Lytechinus pictus: one gene and its partner. The protein of the gene in region 2 interacts with the protein of the main gene of each other region in a pairwise test. Links are inferred from orthologs where the notes say so. Each region holds a gene or a part of one and is shown on either strand. Other genes may lie near its edges.

Region 1 (10,062 bases), about 1.6 Mb from region 2:
GTTTTGCAGCAATCAATAATTAGTTGGTGCCTTATCAACAATCTTCAACAATAACCATTTCTTTCACTGGTAAAAATCAAGGTCAGAGCTCTCAAAAATTAATTGTCAACAGATGTTCAAGATTAAAACCTGAAAGACATGAAACCCAGCTCTCTATATTGAATTTTTAATCCAAGTACTGCAAGAAAAAATAATGGCTTACTTTAAATTTATACAAGAGGTGAATTCCAAATGAATTATGTAATTCCCCTTTTTAATATACATATATCATATTACTCACCCAATTGATAAGTACATTCTTAGGTAGATTGCTGTTAGTGTCTATCACCCTGAGGAAGGCATACTGTATTTTGGCGCAGTTGAAGGAATCCGCCATTTCCTCAATGCCATCCTCTACAAGGAAACAGAAACAAAACAAAAACAAAAACAAAACTGGCAAGATTACAATCGTTATAATCAGGCCTGTCTAGCACTAGTGTTCTTGGAAAATTTAACCCATAGTTTGGTAATCTATCATCATCATTGCAATCATTAAAAACAAAATCAAAATCCTTGCTTTCTCATTCAAATTGGCAATTCCATCTTCATGTTAAATCATTTATTTAATTATTTTTTATAAAAAAAAGCTGCAAAATAAGGCATATATCAAAGAAAAGATACTAATTTTTGCAATTGGAAGAGCTATTCAAACTCTTCAAATCATCAATGGTTTATGTATACATACCTCCTGTGTCGACTACCTTCAAGTCGTATGATTTTCCTTCATAGCCAAAAACAACCCTGCAGTGGGGGAAGACAAGATTTGTGATAGAGATATTTTTTCTTGTCATAGCTTGAGAAACAAACCACTGCAACGTCATTTTGAGATAGACAAAACAAAGGCACATGCCTGAATATTACTGTATGCATTCCTTTTACATTCTTTTCAAGGTTTTTGTTGTAAGGAAAATTTTTTTTTAGTCCTTTGCATAAAAATATTTGAATATTATTTCATGCATTATCTGAATCAGATTAAAAAAATAAATCATGAAATTTGTGTTATTTTTATATGCCCATGTGGGTCATGGACAGCAGCTAGTACTAGAAACAGAGTCTCTGTCATTAAATACTCTTCTTTCACTGTCTCTTTCCGAAGACTTGCCGTCTTTCCATGAATTTGTAATGACATTACTAAAGCCAGGCACACAGCCGATATGGGAGACTGTCACCAAGTTTATTTATCTTCAATATATATATCAGTGAGACAAAAGTTTTGTAGGGAATAACTGCCTTGGCATTAATGTTGTTTCTTTTATCCTTTTGCACAGCAAGTCTCCAATATTGGAAATTGTCTCCCATGTTGGCCGGGAGTCTCCAACATTATTAGCCGTACGTCTCTTACAAGTTACTGGATGCATAGGAGGTGTCACCAACAGCAGTCCACCCGGGCCCTGTGGGTTCATTGCATTAGCCATGTGTGTGAAAATCAAGGATTTTACCTTATTTATTTCATTACATTAATTCTTTTACCAAATAATATGAACCCCTTTTTCCACCTCGTTATCCTTGTGTGAAATTTTTTTGATTATTTTTCGTTTTTTTCATTGAGTGAAGCGGTGAAGCCATTGCAATTTATCACAGACCAACATTTTCACCAATAGAGGGAGCACAATTTATATTTATATCAAAGACAATACAAGGGAAAGATGAGGTACTCAAACTATTTTACACACAAATCAATGTAAAGCATTACGCTAAGTTGATCAAGTGTCTAGTCTTCCTAATTGTAGAGTCTTTCATTCACACTGTTATCTTTTTATAAAGAATCAAAGCTTGTAGAGTCTACTGCTGCATGGGGGGGGGGTGAAGGGGCTGTGCCACCTCTCTATTGGGGGTGCGAAAAATAGAAAAAAAGGAAGAAAAAAAAAAGAAAAAGGAAAGGAGAGGAGAAAAAAGAGGGAAAATAAGAGGGAGACGAGTGACTGAAATAAGGTGAAGTGATGACTTGGAAACAGAACAATCTTTCATGTCCCCAAGGGCCAAGGCTATACTGTATCCGAAATCACCTTTGAACTTTGCTCACCAGGTTCTTTCACAAAAATATATTGCGATTCAACACATCCTCACGTGCACTCATTCCTCAGTCTACTCACGTTTTCACAATCTCTGCTCTCGGTCATCTGACAAACTTAATTAGAAATAAAATAAGAATCAACTCAATTTGAAATTACCTTCAAGTCTTGGTCTTGGCCTTTATTTACACTAAACTGGAGCAGTGGTTACACAAATATCTGCTCCCAATCGATTATCTTCTGACTTCAGAGCTAGGGCGAAACAACCAAAAATACAGGAGCCAAACTACAACCACTCCTCACAGTACGAGAGCTACACAACAACTGCACCCATCGAGGGCCAAACTTCAACTAACTAACCCCCTCCTTCAAGTGTAAGTGTAGGGGAGTCCCTAAACACATGAGTGCACAAGGCACTCTTACATAAAGATACACACATGTAGTGTACACAGAGAGACTGCACTACTGTGCATAGGGAAGATGGGGATAGTAGGAGAGAGATAGACACAGAGAGAGAGAGAAGAATAACAGAGGTAGTCTACTACCAGACTCTAAATAGGCAGTTTTGTTACAATACTATATACCCTATTTGCTCGCTCTTAGCACTCGCAAGCCATGACATTACCCAGTGTTCGATGTTTTGCGCACTGCGTTTCTTGTGTTGACTAATAAATTCATCATTTCCTGATGAAGCCCTATGGGCGAAAATTCGATCTAATTTTTTTCTCTACTACGGTTTGTTTTATTCACCTTAATTTGTATTTTGTTCGATGAGATACGTATCTTGCTCAATAGGCAGTGAAATGGAGCTAAAACTATCCAGTTTTGAAGTCATTATGAAAAAATATTGGAAAATATTTCAGCTCGGACATCGAGCTTTCATTTTGATTGACTATGAATTGATAAAAAAAAAGTGATTCTGTCTTTTTTTTCTGAACCAGTGAGCGGCAGTGATGACTGTTTGAGCAGTAGAGTTGCACGGCCAATATGGGAGACTCTCTCCAATAGGGGAGACAATCTCCCACATTGGAGACTTGCTTTGCAAAAGGACAAAAGAAACAACACCAACAAAAGCATGATTTTTTCCACCCAAAATTTTGTCTCACTGAGGTCAGAATTGTAGAAGCCCATTTGTTTTGTGTGTGATTGACAACAAAAATCCTTATCAAAACAAAGGTAGACGGTGAATTTTTAAACTAAAAGTAGACGGTGAAAAGGGGTAGGCCTAATTACTAATTTTTCATGAGGAATCTGTTTATCTCATTTTTATTTGCCGCCAAGGTAATCCTTTTGCAGCAAATGTAAACAAAGGAAATTGGTCTCCAAAACTGGAGACTGTCTCTGAAATTGGATACCCAAATTCTTTACAAGAGTCTCTGATATTGGAGATAATCTCCCACATTGGAGACAGTCTCCAATATTGGCCGTGCGCCTCTACTGTTGAGTGGCTGGCTAGCTGCAGCTTTATTCTAGTTTAAAATCATGAAAACTGATGAAATAAACACTCTACAGCAACGTTTGGACTGGTGGTTTATTTCACAATAATGCTACTAGTACTACATATGTATTACATTTGAAAATGAGAGATTTGCCATTGTATAATTCGCAACAAACTTCGACCAGTAGCCGAGCAGGCATACCCGGAAGTTGGCAACCACCGGTCATGACGCTTAATTCACACGGGTAGTCCCCCGTTGTTTTAACTCAAAGACACGGCCAGCGCCCCAGCTTGGCTCGTCTTGGTCGGTCGTTTCCGCAATCGGAAAATTCACACACCTGTTCCTCTTTCAAACAGGAAAACGAATATCTCATTACCTTTGAATTTAATGATACTTACCAGTCTGTCGGTTTTTTGTCGTCACAGACATCTTTGTATGCCTGCATCAAAGCATCTCGGTGTTTTACAAAACTTATCGACATTTTGCATTTAAATTCTCTTCTTCCTCGAGCTCGATCCCCCTTCAATCCTGTAATATTTTACACGCAGATGGCGCTCGCCGTCGACACGAGCAGGAGAATGGGAGTAATCAACTTCAACCTCTTCATCATCCTCCCTCAGTCACTTTTCCCTATCCCCCATTCTCTACTTCATCGCTCATTTACCCCCCACCCCGAACCGTTTCCTTTCTCTGTCCACAGGTATGTTTTGCTTTTTGGGGAGTTTTGTTATCTTGGGACTTTTTTTTATGTAGGCCTACTAGATACGTGTTTGGTTTATTTCTTAATGGGAAAGGAGGGAGGGTGGGGCCATGAGGGAGAATTATTTCAATTAAGTTCCTGATTTGACTGAATATATCCTGGGACAAAAAAAATGCTCACTATTCTTGCCAATGTGTTAAATATACAATTGCAAGAAGGGTGGGGTGTGTGTGTGTGGGGGGGGGGGGGAAATTGGAATTTAATATGCCTCTAAATCCTAAGGGGAGGGGATGTGCATCATGAATTAGAGTTCTGTGTATTTTAACAATTTCTATATTAGCAAAACATAGGCGAAAAGAATAAAGTAACATTTTTTGTCATGTGCTTACTGCTCCAACGTTTCACTCTCTCAGTGCCCCATCCCCACAGGATTTTTCAATTAGTACATGTATGCATAATTTGAGGGAAACTAGAGTCAAGGGAGACCGTAATGTAATACCTTTGGTTTTGTTGATGTAACATTATGAGACGTACCCCACAATTTTTTTGCATTCCATGTCCTTGTTCTCTCTCTCTCTCTCTCCATTCCTTTCTCTTCCTCTCTTACCTAATTCTTTGAGAACCCCCCCCCCCCAACCTCTCTCTCTCAAATTGCCCAGGGCATGCTTCTGCTGTTTTTCTTATTCTGTTATCTTTTTTTTCAAAGCCATTTTGAATTATCAATGAATAGGCTAGGATGGCCAGCAAGACGATGGATGGCAATAATTGATAGGCCAACATGTGTTTTGATTTCTGGTCGTAATAAATCAAATCTTATATAAGTATGTTACAGACCTATTGCTCTGCTGGCCATTCTGTGCTTTTGTCAAAATGTTTAAGTTAACATAGCTGATCTCTCTCTCTCTCTCTGTGTCTTCAAGTAGTTGCAAATGAAAGAGAAAGTCTCAGCCTAATCTGACAATGATTATCTTCACAAACGATAAGCATACAGAATGAATTTATCTATTTCTTTAAGAATTTAACCCTGAAAATAGTCAGCATTTCATGGATACAGGAAAAAATTAAAGGCCTTTTAGCTCTACGGTGTAAATAGTGTTAAATGTGACTTAAAATCATGCACGCACATGATATGTAACACGCAATCTTATTGATTGATACCATAGGATTAATACACACTAGTGTGCATACCCTTGGTATGATTTGACCAATGCGATGATGCTTTATATACCGAAAAAAAGTGAGGATAATGAGACACAATTAACTCTTTTGGAAACAATCCTATAGATATAGAATGTGCCATGATTGAACAAGAGAAATATGGTCTATTCCAATATATGCATGTCAATTTCAGCCACGGGTACCTAAATGTGAGTAGACTGGACTCTGGCTTTTTACAACCACAACAAAATATTTACTCAACACAAATACAGGATTTGTTCATTATTTTTATCAGCAGCTTATATTTACAAAATAACATTGTGGTTTCTTCCATAGGAACATGGTTCATCTAACAAAAGAATGTGAGTAGAAAGTCACTTTATACAATATACATTTGACAGTCATGATTCTTTAAGTATTTGACACAAATAACAGAAAAAATAATATGGAATATTGACAAAAATATTACCATTCATGGAAAACAAAAATTTTGGAAAAAGTTAGGTTGTGTAAAAAAAAAGATAAATCTGTAAGATTTTGATGAAGGTTTGTGAAAAAATGGACAAGAAATGTAAGTTATTGAGCATTTGAATGTACAAAACACTAATGTTATGGAGATTGTCCCATAGGCTTTTCATAGTATTCTTGGATCAGCACCAAAATAGTCTTTCATTAATCAATTACTACAGACCAAGCAGGTCTTTGTACTCATCCACTTCTGGCTTCCTTGTTATTCCAAAAGTTTCAAAAACCTGGGGGGAAAGATCATTTGCTTTTGCATGCCCCACTTTGTGGAATAGCCTTCATGAAGACATAAAAAAATGTACCTCTGTCGAAACTTTCAAAAATCTTCTAAAAAACTTTTTTATTTAACACTTAGCTCTTTATGCGCCTTGAGCACTCTACAGAGAGGATTTGGCGCTTTATAAGTCACATTATCATTAGGCAATATAATGCAACCAAGATGTGCGCTGTTACACAAACAACTTTCCCTTTTGAAGGATTCAAAAATACATAAAACATAAACAACTCTATTTCGCTCTCTCGAATGAGAGTACAAATTCTAGATTTTGTGAAGCCTGTATTACATGTCCTTTCTCGAAAAAGAACACCTATTTACTGGAAGACTTAACCCTTATAGTGGGGGGGGGGGGGGCAAAAACACCCCCTCCTCAGATCTCGGCCATTGATCACGCGATTGTGACAAAAATTGTCACACACATCATCTATGATGTAACCTCCACAATTAAATTGTCAATTGAATTAATCAATTATGCTAATTAATGCATTAAAACATAAACTGGCTGTTAATCTTAAAATATAGCCCGAAACTGCTAGATTTTGGTCTTGACACTCTTCTTATGATTACTTTAAAAAAAAAGTTTTTTCTTATGTATTTCATTGCTTATTTAATTTCTTATGCATTTCTCTGTTTATTTTACTTTATGGTTTTCATTGTTGTTTTTATGGAAACTATTGGCAACACTTTTTCAGTCATAAATAACATGAAATCAATTACTTTTAATCAGTACAAATAACAAGTGGAACGCCTCTGGCAGTCTCGCCTGCATTATGCGATTTGATATACCAGCAGTGCTGACTTTGAAAACAGCTATCAAATAATTATTCATAAAAGAAAACACTCATATGATAATAAAATACAATGTCCATTTACCCAACATGACCTTTGAACATGATCATATGACCTCAGACATGTGCAAAACAACTTGAATATCCCTTATATCTATGTTTCATAAACTGTGTAGATCTATAAACTTTTTAAGTGATGATGCCAATTCAACCAATACCCCCAACATGGCCAAAGTTCATTGACCCTAAATGACCTTTGATTTTGGTCATGTGACCTGAAACAAGCACAAGATATTCAGGGATACATGGTTACTCTTATGTCCCAAGTTTCTATGAACTAGATCTATCAAATTTTAAAGTTATGATGACAATTCCACAAATACCCCCAACATTATCAAAGTTCGTTGACCCTAAATGACCTTTGACCTTGGTCATATGACCTGAAAATCGCACAGGATATTCAGGGATACACTATCATCTTTATATCCAAGTTTCATGAACTAGGTCCATATACATTCAAAGTTATGACGACATTTCAAAAACTTAACCTTGGTTAAGATTTTTACATTGATTCCCCCAACATGGTCTAAGTTCATTGACCCTAAACGACCTTTGACCTTGGACATGTGACCTGAAACTCCCGCAGGATGTTCAGTAATACTTGATTACCCTTATGTCCAAGTTTTATGAACTAGGTCCATATACTTTCTAAGTTATGATGACATTTCAAAAACTTAACCTTGGTTAAGATTTCAATGTTGACGACGTCGCCGCCGTTGGAAAAGCGGCGCCTACAGTCTCGCTCTGCTATGCAGGCGAGACAAAAATGATGATATATTTATGAATTTTGGCTACATCCATAATTTGCATTGGATTTGTACATGAACTCATGTTTTTAATATTGGGTCTGACATACATTTACACAATTCTAAGTAACTTCAGAACGGTGTAACCCCGCATCGAGAAAGTTAAAAAGTTGCACGAGACTTGAAGGAAAAAAGTCATGAAACTTTAGGGCGTGATCTTTTCGCGTTACAGATTTATCGTAAAAAATGTTGAGGGGGGAGGGGCCTGATTTAGATAGATAGAGTAGATAAAAGAAACCTTTTTTTTTAATGAAATGAAGGATATCAGAATGATCAGAATGGCCCTGTATTCTTCTCTCATTCTTGATATATTATAAATACATTGGAGCTTGGCCTTCTAACACAAAATGATTAAGCAATGGGGAATTGTGTTGCCTTCACATAAATTTTGACTGTATTACAATTCTCTGGTGATGCATATTGGTTACACTTTATGAGTGAGTTGGGTGACCTAGTTTATTGTGAGGCAAGATTCGTCCCATCCTTAGTGTAGTTTGGGAATTTTATTGTCTGGTCTGGTTTAGTGTCTGGTCATATGATCATGATGCAATTTCATAACCTAACGCATCAAGACTTTGATCTAAGAGTTGCAGTGACGACTCCCTAAGACGCGAGAGAACTTGTTTCAATTCAGGCTTGCTGAACACCTGCAATGGGTGAAAATAGATGTATAGAAAAAAAAAGAATAGAGGAGAAACATTTAACTTTATCCAAATAACGACTATCAAAAATTCTTCTCTCCTCTAGGACAAACGCTTTAAATGCTATTATGGTCATAATATCACAAATGCAGCTAAAATGGACATTACGGTAACTATTACGGTAACTTTGCCATCCATTGGCAACATTCATGGAATCCTTGATTTTTATTGGCTGTTGATCATCATTACTATGGTAGTTACCATTGGATGGCAATGTTATCATAATAGTAACTTTTATGCAAGGGGCCCCTAATGTGCTTTATATAAACAACATTTCACAGTCACTTCAAGACAATTTCCTCCATTGTCTAAAATCACAATCAGGGGCATGCTTCACAAAGGACTTACATTTGCAAGGTAACTTTGTCATTATGACAACTTCCATAGTCACAGAGCTTAACAGCCAATCACAATCAAGTTAACCATGGGAGTTACCATAACTGTAGACCTTATTGAAATGGGCCCATGGGTTGTTTTTTCTGATAGTTGAGAAATTTGTGGTAACTACCATTATGACAACTATCATGGTAACAGAGTTAAGTCGCCAATCAAAATCAAACGTTCCAATGTGTTAGATACCACATTGGCAAAGTAACCATGAATGCAGAATAATAATAATAATGATAATAATATTAACAATAACAACAACAATAATAATAATCCGCTTTTATATAGCGCTTTATTCAGATTTGGAACGGCATCTATAAGCGGTTTACAGATACATTATTACCCCGGTCATCGGATCCTGGCATGCCCGCACACAATGTATGCCTTCCTCTTCTCCCTGGGGAGCATTCCAACAAAGATTTCCAAGACTCTATTGCTAGGCATACTACATGTACATATGCTTATGAAAACGTACCCCTGATTCAAATTCAACTGACCTTATAAAGCTGGTGCTGCTCCGATGCGATGACATCAGCCAGTATCAGGCAATCCTTGTACTGGTGTGTGGAATGAAGAACCGAGTGAAGGAGAAGGCACATCCTCGGCAGGCACAGCTCTCGTAACCTCTGCATCTGACTTACACGAACCTCATCAACTTCTTCCTCATCATCATCCTGAGGAAAAAAAATAACGAGTAATCCTTTAATGCATGCAATTGATTCAATGTATCAACCATAACAAGTATCAGAATAGATTTCACAAATGTTACCCTTTTATACAAAAAAGTACAATCAACCTCCCATAAGTCGGATATTAGCCGAAGTCAAAGCAATTTTGAAACAATCAGATGATGTAAAACAGTGAACACACAAAACCCCTTAATTCCAATTTATCCCAAGTGATATTTCTGTGGTCCCAAAATATGTAACTAGGCAAAATAACCAGTATGTACATTTGAAAAAGGGAACCTTTAAGGAGATGAAAATTGAAGACAATGACCATAAGTCCAATATCAAATCAATTACCACTAAAGGGAAATGAGAAAATACAGGTAGCTTTTTAGTTAATCTTTGAAGTTTCAAGAGCAAACAATTGAAACATTTTGTTTTTCATAAAATTGATAATCTGTGACCTTTGGCAAAATGAAGTAAAATCCATAAAAAGGGTTCA
Region 2 (9,701 bases):
AATATATATTATCAATATTGATGTCATCGAAATTTCCCTGAAAATACTTACAACTATATATATTTACTCATCACATTGGTAAATTACCTATTCATGTAATTATTATTCCAACCACCAGGTGATTGTTAATTATGATTAAAAAACAATACACATTAATTTCTACAATTTCTAATGTAAAATAATGACTAATTACTAAAATTAAGGTTATTATTCATTTGGTGTGAGTTCCAATAGTAGATTTTACAATATGAAGTATCCAAACTCACTTTGAAGATAAAATGTGAAACATTTTGATGATTTGCACCCTTCTCCGCCTGGTGGTTGATAAAGATGTTTGATATCTAAAATTAATTTTTATAAATAAAAGAAATTCCAAGCATATTTTAAAGATAAAATCTGAGACATTTTAAATATGCACCATCTCCATCAGGTTGTAGATAGAGATATACGATGTTTAAAGTTAAAGTCATTTTGAAATGTAGGTTTAGTTGTGATAACTAAACAAAAATTGACCCCAAAACTGATTAAAACTAAATATTGACTTCCATGAAAAAAGCCATATATGAGATCATCTGGTAAATTCTAATAATTGTTTCTAGTGACTTTTAGTGAAGCAATTCATATGGTCATGTATTGGACAATGCTTTACCATGGGCATCTATGCCTTCAGTTCCCTTTACAATTGTTCAGTATACAGGCCTAAAGAGAACTGATGCGAGTTACTTTTTAACCTCACCATCATACTCAACTTTGTGTGTATATATTGTTGAAATGAATAACACTATTTATTTTGAAGCTAATAATTTAACAAATTATAATATGAAGTTGTTTTCATCCATATTATTTTAAAGATAAATACCAGTTGTGGTAACGATCTCAAAATGAGTTCGAACAGAATCCAATAAAATTACCACCCAAGTTTTTGTATGTAATAAATAAAAAATATGTGCCAAATAGCTCTCTGGAAGAAAATGCGTAATTACTGAGAAATGAGCAAAATAAGTATGGAATTCCATCAAATGTTTGGTATTTTCCCAAGCAATATTAATACACTGTCCCACACATGCTATTTCTGTGTTGATGAGCATCAGAATTGTCAGTTTTGAGCTAAGATTTCATGATTTCACAAAGATAGGTTTAGATTGATGTACCAGATCTAGATATATGATAATATAGTGACAGTTAACCTTGATTTAAAAAACTTTCTCATGAAATAATTGTTTACTGCAACTACTTTCCTTTTCCTTAAAATGCAGTTAATCAGATTCAAGAATGTTTGATTGGTTACAGGGATGTAGCAGACTGGCATTGGCTGGCTAGGGTCTACATTGTGATTGCCACCTGTACAAGAGCATAAGGTTTCTAAAACCAGAAAGAGTTTTATCAGAGAGAGAGGCGACCACACTATGGCTTGGAAAACGGGTAGGGAGTCGATGATCAGCATCAACTTCCCAACAAGCCTTCACCTACAACCCCTCCAGAGAACGACATCAGAATCGTGTCTACACTCCAGGGAAGGTCTTGAAAACATCAGTAAGTAGATGTCATTAATTTGAATTTAGAGTGTTTTCAAGCAAATTCCTGTGTATTATATTTACATATACATAAAAGTGTGCCCTTACTATGACATCACTCATTTGTGTTTAATATTCTTGAGTGATTAGTTAAGCACAGTGTACTCAAAACCATGCATTAATCACATTGTTCCTCTCTTTCAAAATGATTACAAACTTCATTTACTGTCCCTTTCACGAGGTAAAAAAATTGTAATTTGAATGATGATTCCAGTGAAAAATCAAGCTAATGACGAATTTTTAGCACGTGTAAAACCAAACTAAAATCACGAACGCTATTAATCACAATCATGAATTCAAATTGGTGAATTGTGAATTCCAGTTAAGTTTCACTCAAATTATGGTACAAATTGTATGTGTGAAAGGTCCAATGATTCTAAAGACAAACTGCAGTCATCATTACTATGATGAATCAAGATTCACGTGTGAAAAGGCCCTTGGATACTACAGTTGAACCTGATTCTTCCGTGCTTCAGAATTATTAATTCAGTTAAATATTAATGTAATTTTTCAATTCTCACTCACTGTCCATGCAATCTTGTAGGTTTATTTCCAATTCGTCCAATTGCCAACTCGTCTTCTATCATTTGGTCTACCATCAGTTTGTCCACTCACCACATGGTCTACTTTCATTTAGTCTAATGCCAATCCGTCTAATAACCAGTTGGTCCAATAGCCATTTAGTCCATATACCATTTGGTCTAATTGGACTAGAGTGTTGATTGTGCAATATGAATGAAAATGAAATTAGACCAACTGGTTATTAGACAAAATGGTCGTGGACGAAATGGTGATTAGACAAAGTGGTGATTGGACCAAATGGTTGTTAGAAAAATGTTGGTGGACGGAATGGCATGAGACTAAATGAAAGTAGACCGTGTGGTGAGTGGACGAGTTGGTAGTAGAAGAATGGGCAATTTACCATCTTAATGTCTAAGGAAAAAGCGTTCGACCCCATAGCCATGATCATTGGTGGCACATGAAATTTTGAAATGCACAAATGAAAGAATCATGATTCAAGATTCAAAGCAATATTTTGCTATCATCCAGGAGCTCATTCTTGCAATTTTAGTCAAGTTCTGCTGAATTCTATATTAGGTTTTTGCAAAAAGTAGTGCAAAAATTGACCTTGTGAATATGTATCAACTTCTGAGCACATGTTCCAAGTTGTATTATAGAAGCCTTCTTTGACGTCATTATGAGCATGATTGATTGATTGATTGAGCAAAATCCTAATATGAACAATAATTGATAAGATAAACAAAAACAAATTTTAATCTTCTGATCCTTTCATAAAAGTCTTTTTGCTACAGATCAACAGGAAAAATATGTCTAATTCAACCCATATACCCAAAGATTAAAGCAATACAAACCAGCAGCTTTGTATAGCACCGACTCAAGTCCCCTACTACTCGATACTGGCCATGTTTCTTACCCATAATGCAACATTCTAAGCAGTGCAGTCTTCTTCCCAAATTATTTCCTATTTGGAGACATTCAAAAGTCAAACCATTGCGAATGAAATACATGAAGAGATTTCACACACAGGAATTGCAATAAATTAATTCTTGATATATCAGTCAAAAGTCTTTATTTTATTTACTCTTAAATGTATTATAATCATAACAATAGTAATAGTCATTTATGTAGTGCTATCAATCTAGAAATAATCTTTTTGATGGGCACTATTATCATTACCCTGGAGTATAAGCTCAAGTTGCTGTTTGTAGCACATGTGTATTCAAGGAATCAATCCTGCCAGGTCCCCATTTACCTCACATGGATGCAGCATAATGTGGGTAAATTTCTTTTTTGAAAGAAAACACATCATGGCATGAATTTGATTTTGAACCCACAAACCTTGCATTGAAAGACAAGAGTTAGAACCACTAGACCATGATGCCCTGCCTCCCTCCTAGTTATTTTGATAACTGGCACCGCCCTTTTTAAATATTTGAGCTATAGGGCCAAATTTTAGCAAAATTTACCCATCAGATTCCCACAAAGGAATTTGGTTCCATTCAGTCATACATGTAGGTGATTTCACACCTCCATGACAAGAAAAATACCTGATATCTTGTCAGAGTGAACAACGCTACTTGTACCTGTAGATAATAGATAAATTAGTACATGTATACAGTACCTCTTAAAAAATGAAAATTTTCTCCAAGTTAGCAGTGACAATTTTAAGGTCTAATTCTCAGAATATTTATAGGAAGAATGCACTTTCTTACACACAAATACACATTCCTTGATGTAGTTCCATGAATTGTGAAAACGTCTGGGGTGTGAATCTGTGAAATATATTGTTAAAGCAAAATTTGGGGCGTCAAAGATCTTGTAATGTATTTTCCAGATTGGGAAGGTGTGAAAGTTCTTTATATCTTTTATAATTCGTTCACATACACAATTTAAAACACTGAAATGGTAATGCTAATTTCTATATGTATAAAGAAAAATTATACATCTTCATTTACTGAAACATATTGGAAAGCTGTAAAAAATGCTACAATATACATAGCCATATTCTAAATCAAATTACATGTAGATACCAAATGAATGAGCTATTCCAAAATAATTTAGATTTATTGAAAAATACTAAGCTTTTTTTTGCTTGTCAAATTTTCCTCTGGAAATGTGTCCCCCCCCCCCCCCCCTTTGGCAAATCCTGGATCCGTCCCTGACTGGGATTTTGTATTTTTTCCCAAAACTCATTATGAAGTAAGCCAAATAGCTTTTCCAAAACTTTAATATTGAACACTGACTATAAACATGATACATGATGGAAAGTTATTTAAAAAAAAACACAATAACTAATAATTTGAGCATCAGTCAGTTCAAACTAGAACTTGTCAAAGAAAATGAATGCTCTGATCAATCTTAAATTTATTTGTATTTGACATTGCTTTATTTGAGTTTCGAGATTTTTATCTTAACAGGCTATTATAGAAGCCATAGTTCATGTTTGTACACATAACTATCTTTAAGTTTTAAAAATCATTTTTGCATGTACTGTATATGTAGACTTGATCATAAATTATCGGCCTTTAACTTTACATACATGTACAGGTTGTATGTACAAGTAAAAGATAAAAATTGAATTAGATTTCACTTAGTTTCTATGATGCTAATTAAAGCACTTGTGGTTTTTATGCAGCTCAAATTGTATGTGAGAGATTTTTGTCTCATTTTACAGTTTCATCTTTTGCTTTTTAAGTCATTGCCTCCTGGAAACGGATGGTTGCTGTTCAAAGCATATGGTAATCACAGAATTGTGAAGTCAGTGTGTTAATGAAGATCAATGCACAGAGCTATACTTTCAGTGTTGGGGTCTTCTGTATGCCTGTATCTCAGTTTCTTCCAATTCACATATCATTAATGAGTAATTCTTGATTGGAAAACACTTGACCATATCCTGAATTTGTGACTAATGTATGTCTAATCAAAGTTTTAACGACCTTAATAATATCTAATTCAAAAGATATCAGTGAGGAGGAAGAAAATGATCGCTGGGTTGTTGAAATACAGTATGTAGGTGGGGTTTTCCCACTAGGACAGGTCTCATAAAACCTTGGACCTTGATATCACGATGAAATTTTGAACTGTACTTCCTGTGTATAAATTGGCATTCCTTTTCCATTATACATGCATGCAGCTGGATTATTTTATTCAATGTTCCTGGAGGTGTATTATCTATTAATATTGTATCCCGGTAGTTTATACATGGATGAGTGCAAGTTCATGGAGACCACATGGAAGTAGGGTGATATATCTGTATATCGCCTGTAAAGCAAAGTACCTGTTGAATAGTTTGATATATATTACAAATGGGATGTATTCAAATTTGATTTTTTTGTGAGGAATCGACCTGTGGAAATTCCTTTGTATGGGGATTTTATCTTCTCCCAGTTCATCATGCACCAGAGATGATCTGAGATTGATTGCTGTTAGAACATGTGAAGTTTCATGTGGCAGCTGAAAGAGGCGTAAAAGGTGACACGGGACCTTCCATCGTATCAGGGGTCACAACCGGGTGTTTGCTGGTTTTGATAATTGCTTCAGGTTCACAGTTGATCTGTGTACTGCCGTATGAAGAGGTTAGCACGTTTATGGATATCCTTCTTCTGAGCAATTAGACTGGTTTTGAATACTATGATGGACAATTTTGTTGGATTTTAGTATCTAAGAGTAAGAACAATCTCTGCTCTTACATGTAGATGGAACTTTCTACTCCCTGTAAAACTCATGTTTTGTGTACATTGAAGAAACAGATCAGCTAGTGAACTATTATAGAACAAAATCACTTAGATGTCTCATCAACTTATGTCAAGTGCATCGAGAACAAAGTACTGTCTGTTGTCATGTGACATCATCAGTTTTGCTAATTTCGATCAAGTGATTGACATTTTTTTTCCAACATTGCAAGTTTCAATTCACCTGACTTTATAATAACCAAGATTGGATACTTATTGCGCGATATAATCTCAACTACATGTACTGTAGGAACTGATACCTCTGTATCCAAAGTCCTCCATGGTCTATACTGAAGAGCAAAGACCCTCTAAAAGGCTCTCCAAAGCTTGATAATTTTTAAAACATTTAATATCTCCACAAGTTCTTGAGGATCACATATTTTGCAAGCGGAAGCGAGGATGCATGGAGGTTGGTTTTGTTCTGACTAATAATGGAACTGTTAGATAAATGAAGTGATTTTGTGATGGATCATATTGTCATGTCTTCCTGTCTGCCATGAACCTGGATGGCTGAAGACGGAAAATGGAGCAAGGTTATTATTTAGATCTAGATCCCGATCAAGGGGACGACGTGGAAGATGAACCAAAGTGCGATCCACCCTACGTGAATGCGGAGATCCAAGGATCATCAACGATGGATATACTCAAGAGAACAAGTATGACGCAGTAGTAATATTAGTTTAATAGTAGTAGAAGTAGTAGTAGTAGTAGTAGAAGTAGTAGTAGAAACCTATCTAGTTGTATAAAGTAGATTAAGTAGAGGTAGTGGTAGTGGTAGTAGCAGTAGTAAGTCAAAAAGTGGAAGAAGAAAAGAGTAGTAGAAGAAGAAGTGGTGGTGGTGATACTTGTAGTCACATGTGTAAATACATGATGTACATGATGTCATACTATTCAAGGGGGGGTCAACTATTGTGTCACCCCCCCCCCCCCAGCCCTGAAGAATAGGTTTGCTGCTTGATTATGCCAGTGCTTGTAATGAAGGTGGTGGTATAGTAATGGTTGTAGTATAAGTATTAGTAGAAGTACTAGTAGTAAATATTAGTCCTAGTAGTAGTAATAAAGGTGGTAGGAGTAGTAGATGATCAGACATAGTGGTATAAGAAATAGTCATTATAATAATAATAGGAAGAAGTACGTAGCAGTAGAAGTAGTGCCGTGGTAGCAACAGTGTGTAGAAGAGGCTGGGGGGTGAAGAAGGAGGAGAAGACAAAGGAGGAAGAGGAGAAGAAGAAGTGCAAGAGGAAGAAGACAAAGGAGGAGAAGAAGGAGAAGGTCTAAGCAGAAAGGAGATGAAGGAGGAGGAGGAGAAGAAGAAGGAGGAGGAAATGTAGAAGATAAAGGGAAAGAACAAGGCAGTGGGGGCTGATTAGGAGGAGTATGAGGATTGGGAGTAGAAAAAATAAAAAATTATTAAGAAGAAGCCTAGCAGGGAAAGAGGAAGACAGTAAGGGGTTTGGAGTGGCAGAAGTAATTGTAGAAGTAATAGGCTTTATTGGATAATATTTAGCACAGGCATAGTGGCATACATATATTAAAGACAGAAGCTATCAAGCTTGGTAGAAACCATCAGATCGATTGATCATCCCAACAAACCATACCTGCCACATGGTCCAAAGGGCAATGGCTTTGTTTAATACTGTGCTGTAATTCATTTAATCAATAGATAATCAGACAATTTTGAACTTGCTCTCATGTTTATTTTGTTTCTAAAAGCCATCTTTGTTTTGATTACCAGTGCAAACATTGGGATACACGTAATTTGGCGTGACTCAGATCAATAGTAATTTGTATTTCAAATGACAAGTTTTGAAGAGGTAGTATATGGCGTATGGGGGCTATTTCTAAATACTCTAACCTTTTGAAAATGAGAATCTAATTTTGTGACAGATTGTAACATAAATTCCAGTTAAGGATTTCATAGTTGACAATTTTCTCTTTCATTTCCTTTTTTTTCCTTGTTTCCCTTTATTTTATTTCATTTATTTCTTTTTCTCAGTCATAGAACTTTTGAAGGGATAGGGCAAGTGCCCCAAGCCCTCAACCATCTGTACACCAGTAGATGTGGGTATAGTCAATTTACATGTACAGTGTAGATCCTATTCATGTGCAACTTGATTGTATCATAGCACTGAAGGATGCCAATTTATAGCTACTTAATTATTGTTGAGATAAAAAGCCACAACTCTAATTAAAGCAATGAATATGAGACCAATATTAGTTTAGATATTCTTTTTATTTCCTGAAATCAAACAGTGCACCAACGTTTGGTAAAAGAGGAGAACATTTTTCTTCTCAATTTTTCTTCATCTTTTGATTCAGCTATCCTCTGCAAAAATGAGCAATTTAAGGCAAAAGTCTTATAGCCTAACATTTTGACTTTCAACATCCAAGCTACAAGGTCCGACTGTCGACTGTGATGTTATAAAAATGAAGCCCCCAAAAAAATCTTAGTGGAAAAAAGTGAAATATATAACTGACTGAATACACCATCTTAATTTCATCCCATACACGAACATACTATTAATCTCCAAAGAGGAGGTTTGGTGAAATTTATGATTTTTCAGTCACAGATATCTTGAAAGAGTCTGCTCAAATTTGATTTTTTTTTTCTTCCTGGGTGATTTTTACACCCATATGAGCAGTATCGTAACATGAATCAAATTCAAATTTGTTTAAATACGACCTACATGCCTGCCTTTAAGAGTGGGCTGAGCAGAATGAATCATTTAACAAAACAAGGAGAAGAGAAGAAAGGTAACTATTTTGTTTTTTGGTGAAATCTCAAGCAAAGATCTGAATAGAATAATTAGTGTTCAATATCATAGTGATGCCATGCTTCAAGGAGCTAGAATTTCCTGGTAAATGATTCAGTGAAGTAAAGCACACAGGATGGTTGGCAAATGAGTTTTTAATAGTTTGGAGGAACGATGTAATTGAATCAGGATAGCGTCTATAGATCTCAACATGCGTTGATAGGCTTGATCCATATCCTGTTATGTCTTAGGTCCAATCGTTTGATTACTTCTCTGTAACTTGATGTTTTGCATGCTATAGAGCGATGGAGCAATTGCAAATTGCATGGGTAGATATGATTTGAGATTTCTAGATGATGAGGACAGTGATGAAGACAAGTACGAGCTGCCCAGCTCCAAACACACAATACCCTGCAAGTCTCAAGATATGGGTTTGTGTATACAGCAGAAATTGTCACTTGTATTTCAAAAGATGTGGAATATTGGGCTGTATTCGTTATGTTGCCCAGCCACCTATGGCAAGCCATTTGACCCTAGTTTTTCGATCGAAAAACCTAGTTTTTCACTGATAAACTCAGTTCTTTGCCGATAAACTAAGTTTATCACTTGAAAAACTCAGTTTATCTAGAAAAACTCAGTTTATCTAGAAAAACTCTGTTTATCAGTCGAAAAACTTAGTTTTTCAAGAAACTCTGCTTTTCAAGAGAAAAACTAAGTTTATCAAAAAACTATGTTTATCGCTTGAAAAACTAAGTTTATCAATTGATAAACAATAGTTTATCGGCGAAAAACTGGGTTTTTCGTATCGCCTTTATGGGTCAAATGGCTTGCCATAGCCACCACTAAATCAACAAGATAAAGTGAATATTTGTTGAAATTCATTATTGTCTGATCTAATTTCAATGTAATAAACACTATTGTCAAAATTATAATTCTATAACTGAAAAAATTGAATTATTATATTAATAGCCATCAACAACAGGATTTTAACTCTTGTCATTACGATAGTGCAGCATAGAGCTTTAACTTTTACCTTATGACCAGGAGTAATTGCCAGTAGAATTGAGTGTTCTAGAGGCTTTAGTTTTCGCTTTATAGAAATTTTGTACAGCAGGCAGGGG

The links.
Region 1: the proteins of SH3 domain-binding protein 2-like (region 2) and drebrin-like protein A interact in binary tests that used the Homo sapiens proteins (3 or more experiments, as listed by UniProt). The link is inferred for Lytechinus pictus from reciprocal best matches to the Homo sapiens genes SH3BP2 and DBNL.

The regions. Positions count from the first base shown.
Region 1 is NC_087256.1:7,117,462-7,127,523, reverse strand, and holds the start of drebrin-like protein A, read right to left. Parts: upstream 4,145-10,062; 5' UTR 3,972-4,144; coding exon 3,889-3,971; intron 2,409-3,888; exon of another isoform or gene 2,211-2,408; intron 781-2,210; coding exon 725-780; intron 394-724; coding exon 281-393; intron 1-280. Other genes in the region: nuclear pore complex protein Nup107-like, read right to left, coding at 8,344-8,451, 9,390-9,566. UniProt on the Homo sapiens protein: Adapter protein that binds F-actin and DNM1, and thereby plays a role in receptor-mediated endocytosis.
Region 2 is NC_087256.1:8,751,005-8,760,705, reverse strand, and holds the start of SH3 domain-binding protein 2-like, read left to right. Parts: upstream 1-5,178; 5' UTR 5,179-6,350; coding exon 6,351-6,483; intron 6,484-9,701. UniProt on the Homo sapiens protein: Binds differentially to the SH3 domains of certain proteins of signal transduction pathways. Binds to phosphatidylinositols; linking the hemopoietic tyrosine kinase fes to the cytoplasmic membrane in a phosphorylation dependent mechanism.